Saccharomyces cerevisiae S288C: one gene and its partners. Changing the gene in region 3 together with the main gene of any one other region gives a genetic interaction. Each region holds a gene or a part of one and is shown on either strand. Other genes may lie near its edges. The genes, in order: NEO1, PMT6, PHO87 and PHO89.

Evidence for each region.
Region 1: of PHO87 (region 3) and NEO1, extra expression of one rescues a mutant of the other (dosage rescue), as found in Saccharomyces cerevisiae (one study listed by BioGRID).
Region 2: mutations in PHO87 (region 3) and PMT6 together harm fitness more than expected from each alone (negative genetic interaction), as found in Saccharomyces cerevisiae (2 studies listed by BioGRID).
Region 4: mutations in PHO87 (region 3) and PHO89 are lethal when combined (synthetic lethality), as found in Saccharomyces cerevisiae (2 studies listed by BioGRID, with this or other methods).

What each region holds. Positions count from the first base shown.
Region 1 is NC_001141.2:257,535-266,390, forward strand, and holds NEO1 (aminophospholipid-translocating P4-type ATPase NEO1), read left to right. Parts: upstream 1-3,902; coding exon 3,903-7,358; downstream 7,359-8,856. Other genes in the region: isoleucine biosynthesis protein MMF1, read right to left, coding at 309-746; PCL7 (Pcl7p), read left to right, coding at 1,379-2,236; DFG10 (putative polyprenol reductase), read left to right, coding at 2,624-3,385; SYG1 (Syg1p), read right to left, coding at 7,581-8,856. UniProt on the Saccharomyces cerevisiae protein: Flippase that catalyzes the hydrolysis of ATP coupled to the transport of lysophosphatidylserine, phosphatidylethanolamine, and phosphatidylserine from the lumenal to the cytosolic leaflet of the Golgi apparatus membrane and ensures the maintenance of asymmetric distribution of phospholipids.
Region 2 is NC_001139.9:892,451-900,281, forward strand, and holds PMT6 (dolichyl-phosphate-mannose-protein mannosyltransferase PMT6), read left to right. Parts: upstream 1-5,051; coding exon 5,052-7,331; downstream 7,332-7,831. Other genes in the region: SNG1 (Sng1p), read right to left, coding at 47-1,690; YPP1 (Ypp1p), read left to right, coding at 2,243-4,696; Elongator subunit ELP2, read right to left, coding at 7,454-7,831. UniProt on the Saccharomyces cerevisiae protein: Protein O-mannosyltransferase involved in O-glycosylation which is essential for cell wall rigidity. Transfers mannose from Dol-P-mannose to Ser or Thr residues on proteins.
Region 3 is NC_001135.5:190,840-199,147, reverse strand, and holds PHO87 (SPX domain-containing inorganic phosphate transporter), read left to right. Parts: upstream 1-1,962; coding exon 1,963-4,734; downstream 4,735-8,308. Other genes in the region: Ras family guanine nucleotide exchange factor BUD5, read left to right, coding at 1-1,527; RBK1 (putative ribokinase), read right to left, coding at 4,850-5,851; exosome non-catalytic core subunit RRP43, read left to right, coding at 6,130-7,314; fatty acid elongase ELO2, read right to left, coding at 7,513-8,308. UniProt on the Saccharomyces cerevisiae protein: Involved in the uptake of inorganic phosphate.
Region 4 is NC_001134.8:794,542-801,834, forward strand, and holds PHO89 (Pho89p), read right to left. Parts: upstream 3,982-7,293; coding exon 2,257-3,981; downstream 1-2,256. Other genes in the region: cation-transporting P-type ATPase PCA1, read left to right, coding at 1-1,958; TYC1 (Tyc1p), read right to left, coding at 5,582-5,701; transcription factor MAL33, read left to right, coding at 5,982-7,293. UniProt on the Saccharomyces cerevisiae protein: Sodium-phosphate symporter. Active in early growth phase.

The DNA of each region.
Region 1 (8,856 bases), on a different chromosome or scaffold from region 3:
ATCTGTACACCGCAAAGTTGTGACGAAAACACAGTCACAGTTTTTTAGAATTTATGATTAGAGTGTTCAAGAAAATAAGTTCCAACACGTAATAGGTTTCTACCCCTGTCTTGTAACATTGATACAAGTAGAGGGAAACTCCCCTCACATTTTCTACAACGGCAAGAAACTGATTCTGAAACTCCGTAAATTCGTTTCTTTTCTTAGTTAAAATCTTATATACGCTAAAGAATGCTACTAAAATGTTTATAAATGTACACTCCTCGGTATCGCAAGTGGAAAAAAGGCAGTAAAGAAGTTTCAATCCTTCAATTCTTTTCAACAGCGATAACTTCCATTTCTAAATCAACATTCAAAGGTAAGGAAGCAACACCAACACAGGATCTTGCAGGCTTATGGGTGTGGAAGTGTTTGGCGTATACAGAGTTGAATTCGGCAAAGTTTTTCATGTCAGCCAAGAATACGTTGACTTTGACTATATTGTCTAAAGAAGAATTACTTTCTGCTAAGATATTCTTAACGTTTTGAAAAACTTGTTCGGCCTTCTCAGAGATAGAACCTTGAACAGGCTTGTTATCTGGAGTATAAGGGATTTGACCAGACACGTACACAAAATTGTTGGCCTTCATAGCTTGGGAGTAAGAGGCGGCAGCGGGTGGGGCCAACTTGGTGCTGACCGGGGTCAATGTTGTTATACCCCTCCTCAAGACTGGAGCTGTTCTCAAAACGGAATTTCTTAAAAACATTATTGGTAATATATTTGTGTGTATGTGTTGTCCTTTTTACCTGTAAATCTCACACAATTTACTAGCTAACCTAATTCTTATGCATGTGTAAGACCCATTTAGTCATATGTATTTATATATATCAGGGGATCCATACGGTGTGTTTTTCGCTGGATGAGCGACAGAGGCGGAATCGCATCTCCGCAAATGAGAGCGTACACAGGAGCAAAGTGAATAACGTCCTTCAATGATAGAGACTTATCCAATAAGCAGCACTGGTCTTCTAAGATCACCGCCTGTGCACTTTTCTACGGGCTCTTTTAATTGTATAACATGGACAGTGATCATTGCATTTTGCATCCATAGGCATACTATGGCTTAAGGTATTACTATCTATCGCGCCTAATCTCTGGGAGTTTTGAGGCCGGTTTCGGAATCTCGGTATCTTGCGATGGGTCCAAAACGGTGTAAACAAAGCAGGGGATAGCAGCGCAGGCTTCAACATCTCAAACCTTTATATATACAAAAAGTATATCTATATATTCATCTACGGTTCTTAAAATAGTACAACAAAAGTTAACAGACATTAATTACTGTAATCAGACTAAAGCAAACCGAGCTAGAACGAACGACTGCTTACACTAGAGAAAAATATGGAGCTAAGTTCACCATCAAAAAAAACCACAACATCGCCAATAAATATACCAGGGGGGAATAGAGATAACCTAATAATCGGACCACATTCTCACAGCTTCAAGACCGATCCATTTTCAAGTAACAATAGTAGTTTGCTGTCCAAAATATCTACTAACCCCAGTTTGGAAAGCCCTTTCTCTTCGAAATCTTTACTAGATTGTTCTCCTGTACAAGCTGTAAAGAAGTCTTTAGAGTCGGAAGCAAAAACGCATAGCCTGGACGAGGAGACAAATGAACAGACTGATGTAAAGATCTTAAACATAGCAGACTTTCCCACAGATGAACTCATACTAATGATAAGTGCGCTACTCAACAGAATTATAACAGCAAACGATGAAACTACAGATGTCTCACAACAAGTGTCGGATGAGACCGAAGACGAACTCTTAACTCCAATCCTTGCTTTCTATGGAAAGAATGTTCCAGAGATAGCTGTTGTTCAGTACTTAGAGAGAATTCAAAAGTACTGTCCCACCACAAATGATATTTTTCTTTCTCTCCTTGTATATTTCGATAGAATCTCCAAAAATTATGGGCATTCTTCTGAGCGTAATGGTTGCGCAAAGCAATTATTCGTCATGGACTCCGGGAACATTCATAGATTGCTCATAACAGGTGTCACAATTTGCACGAAGTTCTTGAGTGATTTTTTTTACAGTAACTCTCGATACGCCAAGGTTGGAGGTATTTCTTTGCAAGAGTTAAACCATTTAGAATTACAATTCCTGATACTATGTGATTTCAAGTTATTGGTTTCAGTCGAAGAAATGCAGAAATATGCAAACTTGTTATATAAATTCTGGAACGACCAGTAGAATGCTGTCCTGCATATTATTCATGCCCTTCCCTTACCGTTACTCGTATTATACATATCAATTTCTGATTTACGTAACGCGTACATATCGGTTATATTTAAATAATTTAATATTCCTTTTAAATCAGTGGTTTTTCATATTAGTAGCATTTCTCCTGAAATGATAGCTATTGCAATAGAATGAAAAAAAAAACTTTTTGCCCAAATAAATCATAATCTACCGGTAAAGAGAAATTCGGTCCTTGTTCTATTCAGTATTATGCTTTCTCTTTTTTTTCCAAAATGAGAATTAAGGACGTTTCGAAAAAGTAAAAATATACCAAATGTGGAATATAAATAGGTTTATCGGCGGACCGATCTGGCTTAAAACGTAGAATCTACCAGTCCAATGTACTTTGATGAAGAACAATTGCTAAAATATACTATATATGCCTATAGATTATCCTTTTTTGTAGGCATTTGCTCACTTTTCATAGCAAAAAGTTGTCTACCAGAATTTCTTCAATATGGTAAAACCTACCGGCCCAAAGAGAATTCAAAGTACTCAAGCATTTTAGAACGAATCAAGAAGTTCACAGTTCCAAAGGCGTATTTTTCCCATTTTTACTATTTGGCTACCTTTCTATCCTTAGTCACCTTATATTTCTATCCTAAATTCCCCATCGTTTGGATCATATTTGGACACTCATTGCGCCGACTTTATGAAACGCTTTATGTACTACATTATACAAGCAATTCTAGGATGAATTGGTCCCATTATCTAGTCGGTATATGGTTCTATTCCGTACTCTTGTTAATTCTTAATATATCACTGTACAAGAACTCCATTCCAAATACGTTAAACATGAATGCTTTCATCATATTCTGCATAGCATCTTGGGATCAGTACAAAAATCATGTTATTCTGGCCAATCTGGTTAAATATTCGCTGCCAACAGGAAGGCTTTTCAGGTTGGTATGCTGTCCTCATTATCTCGATGAAATAATCATTTATTCTACTCTGTTGCCCTATGAACAAGAATTTTACCTAACACTAGTTTGGGTAATCACAAGTTTGACTATATCCGCATTGGAAACAAAAAATTATTACAGGCACAAATTTAAAGACAATCACGTAGCCCCCTACGCCATAATACCTTTTATAATCTAGTAATGTGCACACTAGGGCATTCATATACATATATATATAGACGCGGTAAAGAACCACTTTACTTTCACTATTATCACTTTACCACTAATTAGACAGCAAAGGCTCGTATACGTGTCATTAAAAACGAAGGTAAGGCCATACCTTTTTGAGGCAGTTGGAAAGAGTAAATACTGGCACAGTGGCTAAGACCTATCACTGCCAAACAAAAGGTTAGACATCTTGGGAATTTCGGACACATTCGTTACTTAAAACGAGGACCAAAATTACTCAATACCTATTTTTTATTTAATATTTTAGGCATTGTTTCACCTGAATTTGCTGCTATTAGAAGCCTGATCTACGCAATAAAAGATTTCATCTGGATTTTTGAAGCTTATACAGTACTCAACAATCAGCTTATTAACAGCAATATACCGTTAAGCAATTGAGAAAAAGTAACAATCAGAGCACTTGTGTGGCATAACGTTAATCTGAAAAAGAAAGGGGTATCAGTGTGCACGGAAAACTTCAGAGACAAATGCCTAACCCTCCTTCATTTAAGTCACATAAGCAGAATTTATTCAACTCCAACAATAATCAACACGCAAACAGTGTAGATTCTTTTGACTTACATCTCGACGATTCATTTGACGCTGCTTTAGACAGTTTACAAATTAATAATAACCCAGAACCACTTAGTAAGCATAACACTGTTGGAGATAGGGAAAGTTTTGAAATGAGAACAGTAGATGATTTAGACAATTTTTCTAACCATTCTTCGGATTCGCATCGTAAGTCTTCAAACACAGATACCCATCCTTTGATGTATGATAATCGCCTCTCGCAGGATGATAATTTCAAATTTACTAATATTGCTTCGTCACCACCGTCGTCTTCAAACAATATTTTTTCAAAAGCCCTCTCATATTTAAAAGTATCTAACACAAAAAACTGGTCCAAGTTTGGTTCACCCATAGAACTCAGTGATCAACACATCGAAAGAGAAATACATCCAGACACGACTCCTGTGTACGATAGGAATAGATACGTTTCGAATGAACTATCTAATGCCAAATATAATGCCGTTACTTTTGTGCCAACCCTATTATATGAACAGTTCAAATTCTTTTACAATTTATACTTTTTAGTAGTTGCATTATCGCAGGCCGTTCCTGCACTAAGAATAGGGTATTTATCATCGTATATTGTACCTTTAGCATTTGTGCTGACAGTAACCATGGCAAAGGAAGCTATAGATGATATTCAGAGAAGGAGACGTGATAGAGAGTCAAACAATGAACTGTATCATGTAATAACGAGAAATCGTTCCATACCAAGCAAAGACTTAAAAGTTGGAGATCTCATAAAAGTCCATAAAGGTGATCGTATTCCCGCTGATTTGGTTCTTTTACAATCAAGTGAACCATCAGGCGAGTCATTTATCAAAACTGACCAACTAGATGGGGAGACTGACTGGAAACTACGTGTTGCCTGTCCCTTGACCCAAAATCTATCTGAAAATGACTTAATTAACAGAATTAGTATAACAGCCTCTGCTCCTGAGAAATCTATTCATAAATTTTTAGGTAAAGTTACCTATAAGGATTCCACTTCAAACCCTTTGTCTGTAGATAATACTCTATGGGCGAATACTGTTCTAGCTTCCAGTGGATTTTGTATTGCTTGTGTCGTCTACACTGGCAGAGATACTAGGCAAGCTATGAATACAACTACAGCTAAGGTTAAAACTGGCTTATTAGAGCTAGAAATTAACAGTATTTCCAAGATTCTTTGTGCATGTGTTTTTGCCCTGTCAATTCTTTTAGTTGCATTTGCCGGTTTCCACAATGACGACTGGTACATTGACATTTTGAGGTATCTGATATTGTTTTCTACCATCATCCCTGTCTCTTTAAGAGTTAATTTAGATTTAGCCAAAAGTGTTTATGCACATCAGATCGAACACGATAAAACCATTCCTGAAACAATTGTTAGAACGAGTACAATTCCAGAGGATTTAGGCCGTATTGAATACCTTCTAAGCGACAAAACAGGGACGCTTACTCAGAATGATATGCAATTGAAGAAAATACACTTGGGTACTGTATCATACACGTCGGAAACATTAGACATTGTATCCGACTATGTACAATCTCTGGTGAGCTCTAAAAATGACTCTTTGAACAATTCTAAAGTTGCCTTATCAACAACAAGAAAGGATATGTCTTTTCGTGTACGTGATATGATTTTAACTCTAGCAATTTGCCATAACGTTACTCCCACTTTTGAGGATGACGAACTTACATATCAAGCGGCATCACCTGATGAAATTGCTATTGTTAAATTTACCGAGTCGGTTGGCTTATCTCTTTTCAAAAGAGATCGCCATTCAATTTCTTTATTACACGAACATTCTGGTAAGACTTTAAATTACGAAATTTTACAAGTATTCCCATTTAATTCTGATTCTAAGCGTATGGGTATCATTGTTCGTGATGAGCAATTGGATGAATATTGGTTTATGCAAAAAGGGGCCGATACTGTCATGTCAAAAATTGTGGAAAGCAATGATTGGCTAGAGGAAGAAACAGGTAATATGGCTCGTGAAGGTCTACGTACTTTGGTTATCGGTCGTAAAAAATTAAACAAGAAAATTTACGAGCAATTTCAAAAAGAATACAACGATGCCTCTTTGTCAATGCTAAATCGTGATCAACAGATGAGTCAAGTTATCACCAAGTATTTAGAGCATGATCTTGAATTATTGGGTCTAACTGGTGTAGAAGATAAGTTACAGAAGGATGTGAAGTCCTCTATCGAGTTATTAAGAAACGCAGGTATCAAGATTTGGATGCTGACAGGTGATAAAGTTGAAACTGCTCGTTGTGTTTCCATAAGTGCAAAATTAATATCTCGTGGCCAATATGTTCATACGATAACAAAAGTCACAAGACCGGAAGGTGCATTCAATCAGCTGGAGTATCTAAAAATCAATAGAAATGCTTGTCTTTTAATAGATGGTGAATCCCTGGGAATGTTTTTGAAACATTACGAACAGGAATTTTTTGATGTCGTGGTTCATTTACCCACTGTTATTGCTTGCCGTTGTACACCTCAACAGAAGGCAGACGTTGCTTTGGTAATTCGTAAAATGACGGGCAAAAGGGTATGCTGTATTGGTGATGGAGGTAACGATGTTAGTATGATTCAATGTGCAGATGTTGGCGTAGGGATTGTGGGTAAAGAAGGTAAACAAGCTTCTTTAGCTGCTGATTTTTCTATAACGCAATTTTGTCACCTCACCGAATTACTATTATGGCATGGTAGGAACTCTTACAAAAGATCTGCTAAATTGGCTCAATTTGTCATGCATAGAGGTTTAATCATTGCAATTTGCCAAGCGGTATATTCCATCTGTTCGTTGTTCGAACCTATTGCTCTTTATCAAGGTTGGTTAATGGTCGGTTATGCTACCTGCTATACAATGGCTCCAGTCTTTTCATTAACTCTTGATCACGATATCGAAGAGTCATTGACTAAAATATACCCAGAATTGTACAAAGAATTGACTGAAGGTAAGAGCTTATCATATAAGACGTTCTTTGTTTGGGTTCTATTATCGCTATTCCAAGGTTCTGTAATTCAATTATTTTCTCAGGCCTTTACGAGTTTATTAGATACTGATTTCACAAGGATGGTTGCTATCAGCTTCACTGCTTTGGTTGTAAATGAATTAATAATGGTTGCCTTAGAAATCTACACATGGAATAAAACAATGCTCGTCACTGAAATTGCTACTTTACTATTTTACATTGTATCGGTTCCATTTCTTGGCGATTATTTTGATTTAGGTTATATGACTACCGTAAATTACTATGCTGGACTTTTAGTTATATTACTCATCTCGATCTTTCCTGTCTGGACGGCAAAGGCAATTTATAGAAGGCTACATCCTCCAAGTTATGCAAAAGTGCAAGAGTTTGCCACTCCATAATTCAATTGGTTTGGATTTTTCTTGTTGCTTCAACGGATTATCTTAAAAAAATCTATCATATTTCAAAATATAAATTCTTATTTTTACAAAGAAGATATAGATTATGCATAATATTATTTTGTTACATTTTTTTTCTTTTACTTTTTATTTTCTTTTCTTTGTACTTCCTCAAATAAGCATCTTTAGCAGGTTAACAATAGCAAATATCATGTCCAGCCCAAATCACATAATACTTTCCACTTCACTTTCACTATCTGTTTCGGGAGACCTATCATCCACGGTATTGACAGTTGGTCTTTGGAAATCAGTTGCATGTGCCCAAGGAATGGATCTCGAAATGTTCTCAAACACGGAGGACCTTCTTCTGAAAGTCCCACGGTAAGCGGGCATAGGTTCGGCAAAACTGTGAGGATTATTGTCATGTGAAGGCGTGATAGGTATGTCGTTAAGTGATGAAAAGGCTTTTGAACCCAAATCACTACTATCCATAGAATCATCACCGACCTGCGCAATTGGATAAGGCAGAGGAGCGTCACCGGTAACCCTGAATAGGTGAACATTGGCAACATGTTCATTTTCGACTCTGAAGATGATCCAAACGAATCTTCTTAAAACCTCCAAAAGGGCCAATATAAACGACGTCACAGCACTCTGCTGAATTGTTTGAGGAGCAATTGCGTATACAATCCACTCAAATCTAATGAGGATATCCCAAATCATAGCAAAGTAATAAACTAACTTCCTACTGAATGAATAACTGCCGTTTTCCCAATTTTTTTTACCAGCTAAATACAAGTCGTCTCTTAGCAACCAATTGTAAGAAGTAGTATTGTGAGCAAAGGACCAATCCATAACTAAATCCCAGGCGGAAGTAAGGATCGAATTCAACGTAGCGCACACGATAAAAGGGGTTCTCCTTTGTTCAGAACGGTCTGACAATCTGTAAGCACAAAGTGTGGCATTATACGCTATACCCAAAGTGTATTTCGCCGCGTTCAAAAGATGAGGGAACCAATCACCGGAATCAGCAAATCTTCGTAAACATTGCATGAATCTCCAATAACTTGGTAAACATGATAAAACACCCATTGCTCTGGAATGTGAAGAGCCACATAGATTGTTGGGCGTATGAGAGTAAACACAGAAGAACATGGCAATATCGGCAATAGAATACGTCAACGAACAAATAATATCTCCCAAAAAGAAATCACCAAACTCAACAGGGAAAAAACCAGACATCATCAGTCTAATAAGAGTAACCACCAGCCATTTTCTAGTGTGTACAACTTTGTCCCAATATGGAATTAGACCAGAGGGACATAAAAATAAGAAAGACACAATACCAATATATAAAAAGCCTAAGGGTGTGAGCTTCTCCAAAGCGAAACTTAACATGGAACAGACCGCACAAGGTACTATGAAGAATGTCAAGAAATACAACTTGAGCGGAATTTTACTCGTGGCAAAATCATTGTTGAAAAATTGCGTACCATTCTTG
Region 2 (7,831 bases), on a different chromosome or scaffold from region 3:
TTAATCGTATTAAGTGTATATATGAATAAGCTATTAACCCTACCCATTAATTTCCGGGCGGGTTGTTATTTTTATCAGTATTGGCCTCTGCCGGGCGGCTAGCACGCTGGGTAGCTGCTGCGACAGCGGCTTCTGCTGCTTGCATAGCATTTTTTTGCATTTTTTTACCTGCAAACTTCATACAAAATGGCATCAAGGATGTATTGAGGGCAACCCATGCCACGAGAATACCGTAATTTCTTCCCATTTTTCTTTTGGTTAAATTCAAAAAAATCACTTTATAGATATCCACGGCATTATGGATTGGCATTATGTAGCCGTACCTGTAAAATTCGTTGTTCAAAACCATTGGGTAGAATGAAGCAGAAATATTTAATATGATCCACGTCATCAACCAAATACTCAGGTATGGAGGGCAGTAAGCTATAACTAAGCTGAGAACGTTTTCATTGGCACCACCAACAGCCATCATTACCAACCACGTAGACATCCAATATACTACGAATCCTCCTCTGCCAAAGGCGGGGGTGAAATCGATCCTAAAAATTGCAGATACGGTACAGAATCCAATGGAAAGAAGAAAATAAGTTGCCCAGGAAATTAGAAGCCTGTAGATTAAAATATGCTTTGGCTTCAGAACTCTGGCCATTTCTCCGTGCAACTTACCATATAATGACAGTTGTAAAACGGTTAACAAAATACAATAAATCAGACCGACCTGCAGAGGGGCCATTAGAATACGATCAGCAAAGGGACGATAATCGTTGTAGGTGAACAACAACTGTCCTGCAATCGCCCAGTTCTCCATGTTTATATTAAGATCTCTGTCATTAGAAGTGATGTTGCTCATCAATGAGGGAAGATATTCCTTGACGTAATATTTCTGAAGGCGGACCTCCAATTGTTGCATGAGTGGTAGAATGGTCGATTTAACACTCGATGGGTCACGACCACTTTCAAACACGGATTCAAAAAAAATTGATGAATTGAACTCCGAGTTTGCGTCTTGGCTAATCAAAGAATTATACAAAGTGTCTGTAGCATTAGGTTTAACGTTTAACGCCAGCCAGTATCTCTCATCGTAAATTAAATCGACTATCTTTCTGTCAATTTCGGTGGAGTTCGTCGTACCAAATTTCCTATGAAATGATGTTGCGTTGTATATATGCCATGTCCCGGGGACAGACGCTAACAATGAGGGTATGATCGCGGAAATAGATTGAACTGAAGTATTAGATGGCGCATCCTGCAATACAACAATATTTTTCACTTTGAAAAAGTAACGATCTGTTCCGTAACAGGCACCCCAGTAAATCGATATGAGCGATACACACACACAAGCAATGAAGAAGTTGTTCAAAACAAACTTCGAGAGAATCTTTTTCCTATGATTTCGCAGTCTTGGAGAAAAAAGCCCTGTTTGAATTCTTGCCAAGGGACCGCCGTCGTTACCGCCCTTCTCTTCCTCATTAGCGCCACCTTCCCCCACAGATGACAATGAGGACGGCTTTTCATCAGGAGGCCGATAGTCTTCTAATGACTTTGCTAAGTCAGAAGAATGGCCGGAACCCTCAGCAAATCGCTGATTACTGTACGAAACCCCGTCCCTGCCGCCAGTAAATGCAGCTGCTGCTGCAAAACTAGGGTCCTCAATGTACTGTGACTCTTCATCACCAACCGATTTAGTCATATTTGTTCTCTGTACGGCTACTTACACTTATGTCAGTACCCGATTCTTACGGCGTATAAAAGATTAAAGAAACAGGATATGTGGCTTGATATATACAAAAAAAAAGAACGATATGGAGTACACTATGTATCTCTCAACAATGCTAAGATATGAAGACGCTTATTGACTACGCCAGTCCGTTTTCCATTCCCTTCTTCGAATAGGGTGGCCCGTTGATGACAAAGCTGCGAGTCATCTATCATCAAACAAACTCACGGCTTTCGCTTTTCTTTAGTCTATTTCGGATTGTACCACCTCCTCGGACATTCATAAAAGGATTCGAAAACGAATAACCACGCATATACACGGAAATAGGAGAAAACTAAACGGGAATCGGTTTATTTTTTTCTCAACATTTCTTTTTCCTGATTTTCCATCCTTTTCGAGATCCACCTATTGTGGTGAAAAATAACGAAAATATGTGCTTTAGGTGTGCAAGGCATAATGTGTGGCATACTGGAAGGAACAAGTTGAACACGCCAGCTGGAAAGAAGTTCAATACCAACTTGCCCAATGCCTAACTCAAATGTTCGGATTCCTCCTACTGTTCCATCGAAGATAATAGATGTGGTCGACCAAGCGCTAAGAGCGCGACTCTTAGGTGGCAGCACCTTCAATTCAGGGTTTGATAGTTTAGATTCCGTACTTAACTTACAGTTTAGACTACATTACCATGTTATTGGATCGAATGGGCCTGCAAAACCAGTTTGTGATGTTTTACTGAAGGAAAGTCAAAATTTAGAAAAGAATATGAGTATGATGGAGGAGTTGAATGACTATCCGGAGATTACAAAACTAGTGGAGAAAATTCTGTTCAATTGCCTCGGTATTCTTTTCTTCCACAGGGGCCAATTTCAGGAATCGCAGCGGTGCTTGCTGCACTCGTTGAAAATTCATAATAACACTGCATCGCAAAAAACAGCACTTATGGAGCAGTATGATAGGTATTTGATCGTAGAAAACCTGTACTACCGTGGTCTAGTTTCGCAAGACATAAATATCATGCAAAATGTTTTTTACAAAGAACTACTGGCCCACGTGGATACGATCCCTCCCGAATCAAACGGTCTTCTTTTCGAATACATCAGCTTGATCGTCGCAAAACTCAGGTTCAATCAAATTCAGGATTTAGCAGAAAATTTTAAAACTACCGTCGAAAATCCTTTTATTCTTTTCCTTTACATGATAAAGAAGTTCCAGTCACCTCTCAAAAAGCACATTGATAATGATGATCTTTATTTGAAGTTCGGACAGAACGTTTTGTTGAAGGCCAAATTTCCTACTGCTAGTGAGACAAATGATGAAGCTTTGGAGCATTTTAATGTCTTTTTGCAGTATTATTTCAAATTCACTCACATAAAAAAAATAAAAGTGAATCCCAGTTGGTATAATTTCATAATATCTTCAATGGAAAAGACTTTTCAAAGTATTGAAGTTTCGAAAACAGCAATGTTTCTTTTCCAAAACCTAAGCGATAACAGTAATGACGAAATAAAGAAGAAGACATTTAAAAGAGAATCTATACTAAATTTTGTTAATTTTGTGAAATACAACGACAAGTACTATCAACTGCACGATAACTCCCACCGTGACATAATTTCATTCATTGATGCGTATTCTTTTATTTTACAAAACTCCTCCAAAACCGATTCAATCGAAAATGTTTTTGATTACGATAATACGGTATCTACGTTTGCGACTTCCTTGAATTCCTTCTACAAAGAATATAATTTGCCATTAATGAGCCAATCAGAATCTTTAGATTGGCTAGAAAACAGCACCAGATGTGTATACCCAGGAAACATTTCGAAAGTTCTAACAAATGCGTGGTCAACATTGTACGAAATCAGAAAATATCAGTTAGATTTTCTTGTATCTAATAATTTGACTTCATATCTATGTAATGCAATGATGCTGTCCACAAAAGAAAAAGACAATGCTGATGTAGAAGAGCAGGAAGAAGGAGAGGAGGAGAAGGCATTACGTGAATTACAATTTAAATATTCTTACACTCTAGCACAACAGAGGCACATTGAAACTGCAATCAAGACTCTAGAATCATTGATATTAAGTAAAAACCCAAATTACTACAAAGCTTGGCATCTATTAGCTCTTTGTAGGTCTGTGCAAGAGGATAAGGAAATGTCGTACAAGATAGTTTGCTCTGTTCTAGAAGCTATGAATGAAAGTCTTCAGAACAATACTTTACTTCTGAATGATAGATGGCAATTTATTCACCTAAAATTAACGCAATTGGCGCTAATTGAAGAAATTTTTGGCACTTTAGAGGCACTGGAGACACTTCCAGAGGTCTTTGAATTATACGCAACATTATTTCCAGATTCACAACCTGAATTGAACAGCATGGGTCCCAAATATTCTCAAACTAAAGAATATCTTTTACAAATGGTGTGGATTTTTGCTGCAAATATGTACATGAGAACAAAAGACAATGATGAGGATGCCAAGGCCGCCATCAAAGAAGCCTCCAATGTCGAAAGTAAATTCAAGAATTTAAATTGTAATATTGCTAACGGTTATTTATCAATAATAAAAGATGAACCAGGCGTGGCATTAAAGGAATTTGAAACAGTTCTGTACTATGATGAGAATAATTTAGATGCCTTGGTCGGATTCGCTGAATTAATTTTCCCTGAAGAACTAGGCGTCGAGGAAACTAATCTTGAGCGTTATTATACTCTCAGCCTTGATAAAAAACCAGGTAAGAGGGCCAAACTTACGTTCGTTAATGACACAGATAGGTCAGCAGCGTATGCAAGACTAAAATTTCTATTGGAGTGCGCAATACTAGAATCGATCGAGGCTTACTATTCCCCAGAAGTTTGGTGGTATTTGTCCCTCATTTACGAGAAATATCAAGATGACGAGTACAAAAACTCTTTGCTAAAATGTATTAAATACCAAGAGTTGAATCCCATTCGCTCCCTAAGGTATTGCAATTACTAACGATAATTCTTCTGATATATACACACACATATATACATATGGGCGCAAGTATATTCTGGTGTAAAGATACTCATAGAAAGCATAAAGATGTAATTCAATCTAGTTGTATTATATTATTCATTGATTTATATTAATTTGATGAACAATGGAACATCTTCTCTTCAATAACGGTTTTGCCCATATACTTGACGTTATTAGGTTACCCGTTTTTATAAATGTAATAAGTTCAATAATTTGAAAAGAGCATTAGCTATAGTCACGTTTCGCGTTGAAACAATTCTTTAAATTATCTTCTCTTGGCAGTTTAATATACCAAACGATAGTCCTAACATACTGTTTTTCTTATTATTTACCAATGAGTAAAGCCAAGGGAACGGGATTTTCATCAATTGATACTGAAGATGAAAACTTACGCGAACGTTATGTTAATCAACCAAAAGCTAATGCCTCCGATATTCAAGATGAACAATTAGATTGCTTTGAGCAACTAGAAGAAAAACATAGGACAAAAAAAAATGAAGAATACACTGCGTTGAAAATTTTAAGGGATGTCATAGGTCCCCTTTTATTAACTATAACTTCGTTTTATCTAAGATTCCAACATATAGATCAGAACAATTATGTTGTCTGGGATGAGGCTCATTTTGGGAAATTCGGATCATACTACATCAAACATGAGTACTACCACGATGTCCACCCTCCACTTGGTAAAATGCTTATTGCATTGAGCGAATGGATGGCAGGATTTGACGGTCAATTTGACTTTTCCTCTAATAATGCATATCCGGAAAACGTAAACTTTAAACTAATGAGACAATTTAATGCCACATTTGGAGCTCTATGTACACCAGTAGCTTTCTTTACAGCCAAATGGATGGGGTTCAATTATTTTACTGTTTATTTGATTGCTACGATGGTAACGTTGGAACATTCATATATTGTCCTCTCAAAATTCATATTGCTAGATTCAATGCTGCTTTTTTTCTCGATGACGACTTTTGCCTGTATGATAAAGTTGTATACGTTGAGAAAGCAACAAATGACGAAAAAATGGTCGTTATGGATGTTATTAACTGGTTTATCTATTGGTTGCGTTTGTTCTGTGAAATGGGTTGGTCTTTTTATCACAGTTGTAGTCGGCCTCTACACATGTATAGAACTATTTTTGCTCTATTGTGATAAAGAATTGCCTAGAATAAAATATTACAAACATTGGCTTATCAGAATCATTAATCTGATAGTAATTCCTTTTCTTATCTATCTCTATTGCTTCAAAATTCACTTTGTGTTGTTGTACAAATCTGGCACGGGGGATTCTACTACAAATACGTTATTTCAGATAAACTTGGAGGGAACTCAGATTGAGGCGGGTCCTCGTGATGTAGCATTTGGGTCAGAGTTAACCATAAGGTCGCATGGTTTAAGCCCGAATCTGCTGCATTCACATATTCAAGTATACCCAGAAGGCTCTGGACAGCGCCAAATCACTGGATATGGATTCGCAGACTCTAATAATGTTTGGAAGTTTGAATTTTCTAGGTCTTCTGGATTGGAACTAGATCAGAACGGGACTTTGAATGGCAAAATAATCCCAATAACGGATGGTGTGGAAGTTCGTCTCAGCCATAAAAATACAGGATCGAATCTTCACTCGCATGATGTACCTTCTCACGTCTCTAGAGGAAATTATGAGGTTTCAGGCTATGGGTCACAAAGTGTTGGCGATGAAAAGGATGATTGGATAGTGGAGATTGTGAAACAAATGGATTCACCAAATCCCGTCTATTCTAATGAGAATTCAACTATTTTACATCCAGTTTCTACTTTCTTCAGGTTGAGACACAAAGTTTTAGGTTGTTACTTGGCTTCTACTGGATTGACGTATCCAGCTTGGGGATTTAAACAAGCTGAAATCGTCTGCAAAGACTCCTGGAGTCGTAGGGACAAATCGACCTGGTGGAATGTAGAAGATCACTGGAACCACAATTTAGAAACCGCAGAAGATTACGTTCCACCAAAATCCAATTTTTGGACCGATTTTATTCTAACTAATTTTGCCATGGCCTCCTCTAATAACGCGTTAGTGCCTGATGAGGATAAATATGATAGTTTATCGTCTGATGCATGGGAATGGCCAACCTTGCATAAAGGGCTAAGAATGTGTTCATGGGCGGGATATATCACTCGATATTACTTGATGGGATCTCCCTTCAATACATGGATTTCTACTGTCTCCTTAATCATCTTCCCATTTATTATTCTTTTTATATTATATCGTTGGAGGAGACAAACGCTTTATCTCTCAGACGATCAAATCTGGCAAATAACGATACAGGGTATTTTTCCTTTCATTTCCTGGATGACACATTATCTGCCTTTTGCAATGATGGGGAGAGTGACGTATGTACATCACTACGTTCCCGCTTTATATTTTGCAATGCTTGTTTTCGGATTTGTGCTTGATTTCACTTTGACAAGAGTCCATTGGATGGTCAAATATCCCATCTATTTGTCATTGTTTGGCGGATGTATATACATTTATAATTTATTTGCTCCAATATGTCAGGGTATGCATGGTGATAAAGCGGAATACTTACCTTTGCAGTGGTTATCTACTTGGGATATCGCACCTTAGTAAAAAAAAAAAAAACTCCAACTCCTTTACACAGAATCACGAAAATTGTAAATAATAATGCCAAATAAAGGCATTAACTTATTATCCTCTTCTTTTCACATGAGAAATGATATAGATATTGCCTATTCATATGCTAATGAGTATATACGGGTGGACAAATCACTACTTCCTACACCTAAAAATAATTTACCGTTTCTCTTTAAATGTGACCACCTCAATCTTGTAATTTTGTCTGCTGGTGTTATATCCTCGTTTAGCTGCGTTATTAACTCAAACTTTCCCAAAGTATAACTGTATAAATAAATCTCACCGTTTTCAAGACCCACCGATATCAAAATTTTCTCTCTTATCATGCTGTCATGTATGGAAATAGCAGTGACAGCTTTAGTGTGTTTAATTGATGCTTCCAGAACGTAGTCATCAGCTGGCTCCTTTTGGTGCCTCCATACTTTGACAGTTTTATCCCTGGACGCGGTGACAAAAACATTACCAAACTCTAA
Region 3 (8,308 bases):
GCAAGAAAACGTCTACTCAGTGACTGGTATAGGCTCGGCGCTGATGCAAACATGGATGCCGTATTACTAGTTGTTAACTCCGCCTGGAGGTTTCTGGCCGTCTGGCGACCCTTCGTAAACTCAATCCAACATGCAACTCAGGAATTGTATCAAAATATCGCCCATTACCTTCTTCATGGCAACGTAAATATACAGAGGGTCACAGCACTAATACAGCTCGTAATGGGACAGGACGATTTACTTTTTAGTATGGATGATGTTCTACAAGAGGTCTTCAGAATACAGCTCTATTTGAATAAGATGCTGCCGCACAACTCTCACAAATGGCAAAAGCCATCCCCCTTTGACTCCGCAAACTTACTACTTAACTTCAGAGACTGGACAACTGACAATGCTCTCCTCCAAGAGTTGCTACTATCCTATCCCACAATTAATAAAAACAAACACAAAAATCACTCCGTCCCTCGTCTAATACAAATCTGGGTAGAGTCTTATTGGCAAGATAGTGAGACAACATTAAAAGATATCCTCAATTTTTGGTACAGTCACTTGGCTGAATATTATGAATACCAAGAACTGTTTGCAGACATAGTTCAGCTGTTTATAAACAAAAAAAGAACGAGGCAATTGAAGATTCATTACATTGGTCTAACTGATAAGGAAATCGAAGAAAATAAACCGCCCCTGGACTACGAAAACTTATTTCTCCAATACGAGATAGACAAAACGAACGCAAATGATGAATTGTGCGGTGCAACTGACCTCAGTGATTTACTTTTCCAATGGAAACAGGGTGAACTTCTAGAAGTCGAAGCCTTCGCTCTAAACGTATCTCCATGGTCACTTGCAAAGACATTGACTCTCTTAGAATCTTCTCTTTACTTGGATATTGAAACAATAGAATTCACAAGACATTTCAAACACAACGATACAACAATTGACTCCGTGTTTACGCTTTCCAACCAGTTATCGTCCTACGTTCTTGAGACAACTTTGCAGCAAACGCACACCATTTCCTACTGGTTACAAGTTGCACTGTCTTGTCTATACTTACGAAACTTAAACTCACTTGCTTCAATCATTACATCATTGCAAAATCATTCAATAGAAAGACTATCTCTCCCGATAGATGTTAAATCAGACCACCTTTTTCAGCGCCTAAAAGTCGTCGTACATCCAAACAACAACTACAACGTTTATAGAAGAACAATTAAACATATTTTCCACAGTCAGCTTCCTTGTGTACCTTTTACATCACTGCTTATCAGGGACATTACCTTCATAAGAGACGGAAACGATACATTCACTAAAGATGGTAATAACGTGAATATGCAAAAGTTCAACCAAATCACAAAGATAGTCGCTTTTGCGCAATATTTACAACAAAAGCAATATGAAGATATACACTGTTCAAATACTACTGCAAGAAGCTTATTAGGGGCTATGATAAAGGTGCACACTTTATATAACGACAACAAAGACAGGGCGTATCAAGTCAGTATAGCTAAGGTTCCAAGGCTTACCTAAAAACAGAACTGTTCAAAGAAAGATGACTTCCTTTTGCTTCTTGTACGCTCACAAATAATTAATATTCATGTTTAGTACTGAAAATTAAGAATACTTGCATAACTACAGTAGATAATATTTTTTGATAAGAAACCAGACGTAAATTAGATGTAATCTTTTACAGATATTACAGTCAACTTAATCAATTACCTAAAAAGGTTTAAGATTGTGCATAGGAAACGTTTCAATTACCGTATCTTTAGGCTACCGCCTCTTTCTTATTTTCCCTTACCCTTTTTTCAATCTAATTAATTGATGATTTCGCACGTGGGAAAAGTAATCCGATGCATTGAAAAATTATTACCAGAAAACAGTGTTTCACACCAAAAAAGCAGTCAGCTCTCAGATAAAGGTGCAGCAAAACTACGGTAAAGGCGGCTATTATTGTGCCTCGAAATGAGATTCTCACACTTTCTCAAATACAACGCTGTCCCTGAATGGCAGAATCATTACCTAGATTATAACGAATTGAAAAATTTGATCTACACATTACAGACAGATGAATTGAAACAAGAAACGCCAACCGGTGACTTAAACGATGACGCTGACTCTCAGACTCCAGGTCCAATCGCTGATATAGAAAGCAACATAGCTGCAGGAGAACCATCTTCATCGAAAAGAAGATTTACACATAAACTCAAGCGTAAGCTCTTTGGTTCTAAAACACCTTCAGGAAGCAAAAGGGGAGACTCCGACGAAAAGGCCATAGATGGGAACAATATTAACGAGGAAACAATTGAGTTAGACGAGTTATCTCCTCAAGGGAAAACCACCTCTTTCAATAAGAATTTTATACGTAAGAAATTCTTTGAATCACGCAGCTCATCTGTGAGTAGCGAGGGAAAGACGCTCTTCAGTTCTTATGATACATTCGTAACTAACCTGAGCGACGAGAAATTGAAAGTAGATGATTTCTACAAAAGAATGGAAGCTAAGTTCTATGAAAGATTTGACCACTTGATTAATGATTTGGAGAAGGAAGGCATTGTAACAAGATTGAATGAAACTTTCAATCCTGAAATTCAAGCATTGCCTCCTTTAAGAGAAATTATTTCTGGTACATCAGAGACACATTCATCTAATAACCCATTTGAAATACACTCTTCAAACATCGACAGTGAATTGAGAAATAGGTTTGATTACAGCGAAGAAGAAATGGATGAAGATGATGACGTTGACGTGTTTGCTGACACTACCGACAATACCGCCCTCTTGAATTATTCGCAATTTAACATTAAATCTCAGAAAAAGTCATTATTAAAACAGACAATAATAAATCTTTACATAGACCTTTGCCAGTTGAAATCTTTTATCGAATTGAACAGAATGGGTTTCAGTAAAATTACTAAGAAGTCTGATAAAGTATTGCACATGAACACTAGGCAAGAATTAATAGAAAGTGAAGAATTTTTCAAAGACACCTACATCTTCCAGCATGAAACTTTAAGCAGTTTAAACAGTAAAATTGCACAACTTATTGAATTTTATGCTGTTCTCATGGGTCAGCCTGGGAACGTAGATTCATGCAAGCAAGAGTTAAAGTCGTACCTGCACGACCACATTGTTTGGGAAAGAAGCAACACATGGAAAGACATGTTGGGCCTCTCTTCGCAAAATAACGATATAATAACTATTGAAGATGAAGCTGAGAAACTTATGCAAGAAAAGCTTCAAATTGAATATTTCAAGTATCCATTGCCTAAGCCAATTAATTTGAAGTTTACTAAAATTGAAAATTTGGCAGTTCCTAAGCTATTTTTTGGGAAAAGAGCAATGAAAATAGGCTTCATTATCATTGTCACAGGTGTTTTGTTGGGTGTTAAAACTTTCAATGACCCTGTCGAACACCGGTGTATGGCATTGGTAGAATGCTGTGCTTTCTTATGGGCTAGTGAAGCCATTCCATTACACATCACAGGTTTATTGGTTCCCCTTCTAACTGTCCTTTTTAGGGTACTAAAAGACGATGACGGTAAGGTAATGGGAGCAGCAGCTGCCTCTACAGAAATCTTAGGTACAATGTGGTCGTCAACAATTATGATTTTATTAGCAGGTTTCACATTGGGTGAAGCCTTGTCGCAATATAACGTTGCGAAAGTTTTGGCATCGTGGTTATTGGCCCTTGCAGGTACCAAGCCAAGAAATGTCCTTTTAATGGCAATGAGTGTTGTATTCTTTCTTTCGATGTGGATTTCCAACGTTGCCTCCCCAGTATTGACATATTCTCTATTAACACCCTTACTAGATCCGCTGGACTACACTTCACCGTTTGCTAAGGCATTAGTCATGGGTGTTGCACTTTCGGCAGATATTGGTGGTATGGCTTCACCTATTTCTTCGCCACAGAATATCATCTCCATGCAGTACTTAAAACCTTATGGAATCGGCTGGGGGCAATTTTTTGCTGTCGCTCTGCCTACAGGTATTCTATCGATGCTGTGCTCCTGGGCCTTGATGATACTCACCTTTAAAATAGGCAAAACTAAACTGGAAAAATTTAAACCAATAAGGACCAGATTTACTATAAAGCAATATTTTATCATCATTGTAACTATTGCTACTATTCTTCTATGGTGTGTAGAGTCACAAATAGAAAGTGCTTTTGGATCGTCCGGTGAAATTGCAGTAATACCGATAGTCCTGTTTTTTGGTACAGGTCTACTATCAACAAAGGATTTCAACACATTCCCTTGGTCAATTGTTGTTCTTGCTATGGGTGGTATAGCCCTTGGTAAGGCAGTTTCATCTTCAGGCTTGTTGGTAACTATTGCAAGAGCATTACAAAAGAAAATTCAGAACGATGGTGTTTTTGCTATCTTATGTATTTTCGGTATTTTAATGTTAGTTGTGGGCACTTTTGTCTCACATACTGTGTCAGCAATCATCATTATTCCCTTGGTGCAAGAAGTTGGTGACAAATTATCCGATCCAAAGGCAGCTCCAATTCTTGTGTTCGGTTGCGCCTTGTTAGCCTCATGCGGTATGGGGTTGGCTTCATCTGGATTTCCAAACGTTACTGCTATTTCTATGACCGATAAAAAGGGTAATAGATGGCTAACTGTAGGCGCTTTTATCTCCAGAGGTGTTCCTGCTTCGTTGTTAGCGTTTGTCTGCGTAATTACTCTCGGTTATGGTATTAGTTCTTCCGTCTTAAAAGGTAGCACTTAAACTGCCCTCATGTAATTACATTTCTTATTACTGCATTCTTTGTACCTTTTTAAACTTTATATATATGACGAAAACTAAAATTTAACAAACTAAAAGTAAAAAATTGCAGTAGATTTTATGCATCTTTCTGAACATCTTTATACAGTGGCATGCTTTCAGCAGCACCTTTTCTTTGAATGGTCAATGAACTAGCTAATGTAGAGAACTTTATAGCCGTAGACAAGGTCTCTCCTTGATACAATTGAGTAACCAAACCGCCCAGGAAAGTATCTCCAGCTCCTGTAGTATCAACAACCGAAACATTTTGAATAGCCGGAAGGAATTGTACTTCAGGGCTTTCGTGCGAACAGAAAAGCACCCCTCTCGAACCCAAAGTCATAACCACAATTCCTCTTTTCTTTCGATTCATGAGTTTTTCATACAAAAGCTCACAAATTTTACGATATTCTCCTAAAAAGTCGTCCTTTATCTTCTCCCTTATTTCTTCAACAAGTTCATTATCAAATACACTTTCCACGATTTGAAGACCCTCAATTTCATTAACGACCAAAAGGTCTACCAACTCCCAATCTTTCTTAGGCATGGCCTTGAAAGGTGAGGGGTTATATACGATCTGAAAATTCGGCCTGTTCGCATGTATCCATTTAATAATGGAAAGAGGATCAGGAATTTCGTGTTGAAAAACAACATACTCTTCTTCCTCCTTGCCCTCTGGAAAAATTTCACACAACTGTTTCGGGTCATAAATAGTCTTGCTGTTAGCACCTTCTACAATCAATATCCTATTTTGGCCACCAGCTTTCTCTTCAATTAGTATGGTAGCGGTACCCGTATTAATGCCTTCGTAAGTACCGACGTGAGTGATATCGACTCCGCAATCGGATAAAGTGTCCTTCAATTGTTTACCAAATGTATCATTTCCAACATTACCAATCATTCGAACACTATATCTGCTGCTGGGGTTTTTTAATTTACCAATGGCCGCAGCTTGGTTCAATCCCTTACCACCAGCATGTGTTTCGAAGTGGTTAGCCCTGAAAGTTTCTCCAGCGTTAGGTAATCTATCCGTAAATGTGTCCAAATCATAGTTTAGAGAACCTATTACTGTAATACCCATCTTTGAAATATGCTGTTGGAACTTTGGGATGAAAGACAACAAACATCTTATTGGCTATTTTTATCCTATTTGCTTCATGATTGTTCTGGCCACCTTCGGATATAAACCCTTTTATTCCCGTTTGATCTGGAGAGATTTTCAAATCACAGTCGACGAAAGTATAAGATTTTTCTTTCTTTTTTTATGACAGAGTATATAACAATAATGGACAAATTAGACGATGAGTATTGTTACACAAATAAGTTTGACAGTAGTTTCACAGGCATCTAATATTGGAAATGGCTGAAAGTACCACGTTAGAAACTATTGAGATACACCCAATTACTTTTCCACCTGAAGTTCTTGCGAGAATATCTCCAGAATTGTCTTTACAAAGACACTTATCCCTAGGAATCAGGCCATGTCTAAGAAAATATGAAGAATTTAGAGATGTTGCTATAGAAAATAATACTTTATCGCGTTATGCGGATGCTGGTAATATAGACACTAAAAACAACATTTTAGGCTCAAATGTTTTGAAAAGTGGGAAAACCATAGTCATAACTTCTATTACGGGTGGAATAATAGAAGAAACTAGCGCCGCGATTAAAGATTTGGATGATTTCGGTGAGGAAGAATTGTTCGAAGTGACCAAAGAGGAGGACATAATTGCAAATTATGCTTCTGTCTATCCGGTGGTGGAAGTTGAAAGAGGTAGAGTGGGCGCTTGCACCGATGAAGAAATGACTATATCACAAAAACTACACGATTCCATATTGCACTCTAGGATATTGCCTAAAAAAGCCTTGAAGGTAAAAGCTGGTGTTCGTAGTGCGAATGAAGACGGTACGTTTTCCGTCTTGTATCCCGATGAATTAGAAGATGATACGCTGAATGAAACAAACCTGAAAATGAAAAGAAAATGGTCATACGTTTTGTATGCGAAAATTGTAGTCTTGAGTCGCACTGGTCCAGTCTTCGATTTGTGTTGGAATTCTTTGATGTACGCTTTACAGAGCGTAAAGTTACCTAGAGCATTTATAGATGAGCGTGCGTCCGATTTAAGAATGACTATAAGAACAAGAGGAAGAAGTGCCACCATAAGAGAAACGTATGAAATTATTTGCGACCAAACTAAGTCAGTACCGTTAATGATAAACGCAAAGAATATTGCATTTGCTTCAAATTATGGGATAGTGGAGTTAGACCCCGAATGCCAATTACAAAACTCTGATAACTCTGAAGAAGAGGAAGTGGACATTGATATGGATAAATTGAACACTGTGCTAATAGCAGACCTAGATACTGAAGCGGAAGAAACAAGTATACACAGTACGATCTCCATCCTCGCTGCTCCTTCAGGTAACTATAAGCAATTAACATTAGTGGGAGGAGGCGCTAAAATAACGCCAGAAATGATAAAAAGATCATTGTTGTTATCTAGGGTTAGAGCGGACGATTTGTCAACAAGATTTAACATATAAAAGACTCGGATAAAATTATCTGATGACTGTCGAAAGGAAACGGAAAACTTTTTTCAACGATAACATGTGTATGTAATATATAACAAAACCATCCGGTCTTTTACAATATAATAATAGTGATAATAGTAACAATAGATCCACTAAGAAAAAACGAATATACGAAAGTTGAATACTTAAATTCTTTCAAAGATTTTACACTTACCTTTTTCTTCTGTGTTGAGGTTTTGGTGATGGAGATGGAGTAGGAACGTTTTTCAAGTCAACGTTAACATACTCATTAACCTTTGCGGCAACACCGCCGTGGGCACGCTTTACCACTCTACTGGTTTTGGTGCCTTTACGTTTATAAACGTTAATGTAAAATGAAATAAATAGTACCAAATATGAAGAAATAATGGCACAACCTGCAAAGGTGGCAGTTGTTGAACCCACACAGTCACCACAATGTGGCAAAATTGGGAAATACAAGTGAACTGCTTTTTGGTAGACAGCAAAATATATGAAACCGATATCCAAAACAAATTGGATAATTTGAAATCTGGTAACCCATTCCTTCCACCAGACCCTGATGCCTCTGGCAGCCAAGAAATAGTACCAATACATAACCACGTGAACACCAAGGTTCAATGAAATAGGGACCCAAGAAATAGATGTGGTGCCCATCAATTGGGTGTAACATAATAAGGCAGTAGCGCCATGGTGATAAGTATGCAAAAATGTCAATTTTTTATGTTTTAGCACCAAGAAAAAGGTGTCTATAAATTCAATAAACTTGACAATGTAATTCATGTAATATAATGTAACGAGCGGTTGAGTCCAAGCACCAATATTACAGATAGCGAAGTATAACCCGTGCTGAACAATAATTGGCACTAATTGTTCAACCATAAGCAATAAAAGCGTCAATGAAAGTGAAGTTAAAACCAAATTATGCAATTGGAAAAGGCCATTTAATTTAAATGGTTTCGACTTACTTAACAAAAACCTGCCACCA
Region 4 (7,293 bases), on a different chromosome or scaffold from region 3:
CCGCTTTATCCATAATATTGACGATCCCGATTCTCGTGATGGCTTGGGCTCCACAGCTTCGTGAAAAAATTTCCACTATCTCCGCGTCAATGGTGCTAGCAACTATTATTCAATTTGTTATTGCAGGACCGTTTTACTTAAATGCCTTGAAGAGTTTGATATTTTCCAGGCTCATTGAAATGGATCTACTAATAGTTTTAAGCACTAGCGCTGCCTACATATTTTCGATTGTATCATTTGGATATTTCGTTGTTGGACGCCCGTTATCTACGGAGCAGTTTTTTGAAACCAGCTCTTTGCTTGTAACTCTCATCATGGTTGGTCGCTTTGTGAGTGAACTAGCTAGACATAGGGCTGTAAAGTCAATATCAGTACGTTCCTTACAGGCCTCTTCTGCTATTCTGGTGGATAAAACTGGTAAAGAGACGGAAATTAATATTAGACTTCTCCAATATGGCGATATTTTTAAGGTTTTACCTGATTCAAGAATCCCAACTGATGGAACAGTCATTTCTGGGTCTTCTGAAGTCGACGAAGCGTTAATCACAGGTGAATCTATGCCAGTCCCGAAAAAGTGTCAATCAATTGTTGTTGCAGGATCGGTGAATGGCACTGGTACTTTGTTTGTGAAGCTGAGCAAGCTTCCAGGGAACAATACTATTAGTACCATAGCCACGATGGTTGATGAAGCAAAATTAACTAAGCCAAAGATCCAAAATATCGCTGATAAAATTGCAAGTTATTTCGTGCCAACTATCATTGGAATCACTGTCGTCACCTTTTGCGTTTGGATAGCGGTTGGAATCCGTGTGGAAAAGCAATCCCGCTCCGATGCCGTAATTCAGGCCATTATATATGCCATTACGGTACTTATCGTTTCGTGTCCCTGCGTGATTGGACTTGCCGTTCCTATCGTATTTGTTATTGCAAGTGGCGTCGCTGCGAAAAGAGGGGTAATCTTCAAATCAGCAGAGAGTATAGAAGTTGCTCACAACACTTCGCATGTTGTCTTCGATAAAACGGGTACCCTAACTGAAGGAAAACTTACTGTAGTACATGAAACTGTTAGGGGTGATCGTCATAATTCTCAATCTTTGTTGCTTGGATTAACTGAAGGAATAAAACACCCAGTTTCCATGGCAATAGCATCCTATCTCAAAGAAAAAGGTGTTTCTGCTCAAAATGTTTCTAATACAAAAGCTGTGACTGGTAAGCGGGTAGAAGGAACATCATACTCTGGTTTGAAGTTACAAGGAGGGAACTGTCGTTGGCTTGGTCATAACAATGATCCTGACGTTCGAAAAGCCCTTGAACAAGGATATTCTGTATTCTGTTTTAGTGTTAATGGTTCAGTCACTGCAGTTTATGCATTAGAGGACTCTTTACGGGCAGATGCTGTCTCCACTATTAACTTGTTACGCCAAAGAGGGATTTCACTACACATTTTATCAGGGGATGACGATGGAGCCGTTCGTTCTATGGCAGCCCGTCTTGGAATTGAAAGCTCCAATATTCGTTCTCACGCAACGCCTGCAGAAAAGAGTGAATATATTAAGGATATTGTCGAAGGAAGAAATTGCGATAGTTCTTCGCAGTCAAAAAGACCGGTTGTTGTTTTTTGCGGTGACGGAACAAACGACGCAATTGGTTTGACTCAAGCAACGATTGGAGTTCATATCAATGAGGGAAGTGAGGTTGCCAAGCTAGCTGCTGATGTAGTTATGTTAAAGCCAAAGCTCAACAATATTTTGACTATGATAACTGTAAGTCAAAAGGCCATGTTTAGGGTCAAATTGAATTTCTTATGGAGTTTTACTTACAACTTATTTGCTATCCTTTTGGCGGCTGGTGCCTTTGTTGACTTTCATATTCCACCAGAGTATGCGGGTTTAGGGGAACTAGTTAGTATCCTCCCTGTAATTTTTGTAGCTATACTTCTGCGTTATGCAAAGATTTAGTCCAGGTACTGCTGCTATTTGATTGTAGATTTTCTTTTTTCTTTTCTTTTTTTTTTTTGACGACTCTGTAATACTCTATTTATTATTTAGTTTAGTTTTCTATTTAATATGATGGAATTCATAAAAAAAAAAAATACACATAGCCATGCCAGGTAATTGCAGATCAACTGATAAATTAGAAAAAAATTAATGCATCTTTAAGGTTTTAAATTAGAAATGTTTTAACTTTAAAGTCACTGAGCAATAAAAGTTCTACCTAATGTTGTAAAACTGTATTCATAACCGAAACACATTATGATTATGTCATTTGGTATTCCACACCAAAGCGAGGAGCATTCAAAATGATACCATTTATGATACCGGCAATCAAACCAGCAATTGGTAAAGTTAAAAACCAACCAGAATAACACCAGGCTACCATTCTCCAATTAACTGATTTGAGATCCTTGTTACATAAACCAACAGCGACAATACCACCAACGGCGATCTGGGTTGTTGAGGTAGGAATACCTAATTGGGTAGCCATGACAGTAGTAATAGCAACAGCTAGTTCAATTGAAAAGCCTCTTGATGGCGACTGCAAAATCATCTTATTACCTAGATTTTTGATAATATTGTAACCATAAGTCCAGCAACCAATAACTAAGGCAACACCACCATAAGCCAGAACCCACACGGGAACTTCGGACTTTGCCCCAATAGTGTTAGTTTTCCAGATCACATACACAGCAGACAAAGGACCAGTAGCGTTGGCAACGTCATTAGCTCCATGAGCAAAAGACATAGTGGCTGCAGTAATGGCTTGGAGAACCGAATAGATATATTCTACTCTATTGTCGTAAAATTTAGATCTTTCGTACATTCCTTTCAGGTCACCAGATAACATATCTCTATCATTAACTTGAGCATGAATGACGTCTTGAGTCCAACCATGAGAGATTACTAACCAGAACAATAAGGGCCATTTTTTAGGTCCTTGCTTTAATAATGACCACCAATATTGTTTCGTTGACAACTTTGTTTCTGGTTCAGTTTCAGTTCTAACCAGGTCCACTTCCTGGATGTCTTCTTTGTTTTTGACGGAATCATTAGAATTACTCGCTGCCTTATTTTCTTCGTCTTCAACAGAAACAGTTGTTCCAAGATTTCTTCTGCCCTCGTAATAATCGATTGTTAATTGATGGCCTTCTGGCATTGGTGGGATATCATCAGTGGACTTAAAGTAAAAAGATGGACCTCTGAAAATATCAATCAACTTTAGTGTCCAATCTTGGTCCAAAACTTTTCTTCTGTAGAATGGGTAGAAAAAGATGAAGTAAACGATCGAAGCAATTGCACCTGTGAGAACAATAGATACGGCAGTTTCAGTTTCAGATAAATCGTCCAAGTGTAGGTTTGGAGAACCCTTCCAGACAATCAACATTGTTAAGATAGAGAAAGTGGCGAATACTAAAACACCAACCAGCAGTAAAGCATTCTTAATCGATCTTTCCAAAGACTTAACTTCAAGGACAGAAAACCTAGAAATTGAAAAAACTATAGCTGCGATCGCGCCTGCCAAAATCGGAGCAATGAACCATGACGCAATAATTTGAGAAACACCACTCCAACCCCAAACGACACCGTTAGCTCCACCGGCTGCAATCCCAGCGCCAATTGTACCACCAACAATGGAATGTGTAGTAGAAACTGGCATTCCGATTGCAGTAGCAAATGTTAACCAACAAGACGAGCCAATCAAAGCACTGGTCATAGTAAGCATTAAAACAGCGGGGTCGTTGGTAAAAATGGAGGAATCTATAATGTTGTTCTTGATAGTACCAGAAACTCTTGCGCCTGCCAAGACAGCACCCAAGAACTCACAGAGACCCGCCAAAACCATGGCTTGCCAGTATTTTAGAGATCTAGAAGAGATCGACGACGCGAATGAGTTCGCCACGTCGTTTGCCCCGATGTTAAAGGCATCCAAAAATGCAAATAACATGGCAATGGCAAAAATATAGTCAAATTGATGTAAAGCCATTTTTGCTTAATCTTTGTTTATATTGATTCGATTAGATACGCTCCAGTATTCTCACCTTTGATCTATGTCACTCATTCTATGACAATTCATGTAAAATAACCTCAATGTAAAGATCATCTTCAGCAGGTTTATATATAATTTTCTTCATATCGAAAACCGGGCTTAGTGACATGAATTGTTTGGAGATGTCCACCCAGTAGACATTGTAAAAAAAATCTGCTATTGACTGAGTTAATCTAATGATTTACATAATAGAAGGATCCAAAGTGGCTGTGACATCTAGTATTGATAGATTAGTATTATTACTATTTGTCTCCCACGTGCTGCATTGTCATATGCAATTTATTAAGATTACATAAACTCCTTTGTACGGTATATTCTTAAAGCCTTTCAATGACTCGGGCCAATTTTTAGCAATATTTCGACATTTAAGGGCCCACTAACAAATTAATGGCACAACGTGGGGATGACGAAAAAGCAGAAAAAGAAAAAAAAGGTCTATCGCACAGCCACACACCCTTGTGGTGAAGCCGTTTTGTGATCGGTGTGGCGCGATCTGTGAAATTTAAACTTTTTTGCGGGTGAAACCGAGATTTCTGAAACTAGATTTTCTGGCTTCGCCAAAGAAAGATGCATCGAATTAATGAAATTAAACGGATGTAAGGAATGAAATTATAACGATTCCGCTAATGTTCTTTACTGACGAGTGTCACTGAAGTACTTACTCGTGAACAAAAATTAACCTATATCAGTAATTTTGATATTGTTAAAAGTAGGTATCTCTATCAAAAGAGATTATAAGACCCATCGGCAAAACTCGAAATATCGTCTTGAGAAAATCATTATACAGTACATGGTGCAATTTTAAATGATTTTTAAATACTATTATATAATCGATACATTTAGTACACGCGAAGACAACGTAGTGTTGAGATTCAAAGAGGTTACAGTTGAATACGTGACAAAGCTGACGAGAGTACTGTGAATTCAACAAACCATAAATGGTCACTCCAAGTAACGGTATTGTGATTTCAACAGAAAACACAAGCATTGTGTTAGCGTGCTCGTAAAATATTATTTCAGCGGTGAAGCAGATATGCGTTAAAGGTGGGCTCGCTATTAAATCATGAACGAAAAAACAGTTATGTCGTTACTGGTGTGAGTCGATATTACGAAACCACTGGCAGGTAGATGGATAGAATGGGACTGATTGGAACAGCGCAAGTTTTTTTCCGTGGTCGGAATTCTCGTAGTAATATTGGAAAATAGTTGGAAGAAAAATTGTGTGAAAAAATACATGCTGAAATAGTCAAACGAAGAGAGGTGAAGAATAGATAAAGCTGTTGAGAGGCAAGACAATGTTTTCAAGATGATCAGAAAAGGATACGGTCCAATATCTATTTATATTCATTGCCCTACCGTGGTATGTTAAAAAAATATGTTACATTTATTGCTCCCATTGGATTTTGCACAGGTGTGAAAGAGCTCAGTTGTCAAGATTTAGTCATTAAGAAGGGCCGCAGCAGCTTTTTGTATAATAGAGCGTCTTTTTTGTTTGTGAAAAAAATTTTATGGTGAGATATTGTTCGATTCTACGAAGTCATTTTACTAGTTTATGGACTCTGATATAAGACAGAGTTGACAAGGAAATGGTGCCGTGATTGTTTCCGTGTACAGCTTTTGAGAACTTCCTTGAAAACCAATCATCTAGCACTTTCATTTCTGGGGAAAAACCTGGAACCAAATCTTGAAAAATAAATTCCCCAGAAGTTTTCCTTATTCCGTGTTCTAATCTTCTCGTTCACTTTGCAGTGACATTCCACGGCCATGCGCAATTTACCCCGCCCCCGGATTTTATTGTCCGTACCGCCATTTTTCAATAGATTAAAAAGGAACAAAAAATCATTTCAGAAGGTTTCTTTCTCGGGAAAACACTAGAGTGTAAATATTGAATATCAAACATCGAACGAGAGCATCTTGAAGATATTTATGTTCTAAATATGACTTTAGTCAAGTATGCATGCGACTATTGTCGTGTCCGTCGAGTAAAGTGTGATGGTAAAAAACCATGTAGTCGCTGTATTGAGCACAATTTCGATTGCACATATCAGCAACCATTAAAAAAAAGAGGCTCAAAGCCTATTGGAACTAGAAGCTTAAAGTATATACCAAAGGCCAAAATGTTTATAGATAATAAAAGTTGTACGGCAGCGGCAGAAATATTAATGAAGGTTCCTAAAAAGGTGATTGATCAGTGTTTGAGGCTTTATCACGACAATCTATATGTTATCTGGCCTTTACTCTCTTATGATGACCTTCACAAGCTTTTGGACGAAGAATACAATGACCATTACGTTTATTGGTTTCTCGTAGCTCTTTCAGCAGCCAATCTTAGCGATCTACAAAGCGAATTAGAATCTGAGGGGGGATTTTCGTTTACTGGAAAACAATTAGCCGTTCTCTGTATGTCCTCACGCCAACAATTTGATGACCTTAGCGGCAGAGACATTTTCCGAATTATGACATATTATTGCTTGCTACGTTGTTTTTCACAGTCTTCTGATGTAAGAAATTCATACAGACTTTGTCGTGAAGCTATTGGCCTTGTTATTGTAGCAGGGTTACATCGTGAAAAAGCATACGAATCACTATCATTTCGTGAGCAACAGCTTTTACGCAAGGTGTATTATTTGCTTCTCTTGACGGAAAGATACTATTCCGTATATGTTCATTGTGTTACAAGTTTGGATACCACAATAGCTCCACCTCAGCCAGAGTTCGTAACGGACCCTCGACTTTCTTTGGATAGCTTTTTTGAGATGATTAGAGTATTTACTGTACCAGGTAAATGCTTTTTTGATGCTTTGGCTACGGAGTCTACTAGCGGTTCTTGCACTGAAGACTCACTGAAAAAAATATGGAAAGAGCTTCACACAGCATCCCTTGAAATAGAACCATGGTCTTATGGCTATGTGGACATTTCATTTTCTCGACATTGGATTAGGGCGCTGGCTTGGAAGCTAGTGTTTCAGATGAATGGTACCAAGTTTTTCTCAAACGCCAATAATGCTCACATATTGGTCGAAATTGCAAAGGATATGCTGGACGACATATTCTTAACTCCAAACAACCTGTATGATGTACATGGTCCTGGAATACCAATGAAATCATTGGAAGTAGCCAATGCATTGGTAGATATCGTAAATAAGTATGATCACAATATGAAGTTGGAGGCTTGGAATATTTTGTGCGATGTATCCAAGTTCGTTTTCTCCCTGAAACATTGCAATCATAAAATGTTTCAAAGGTTTT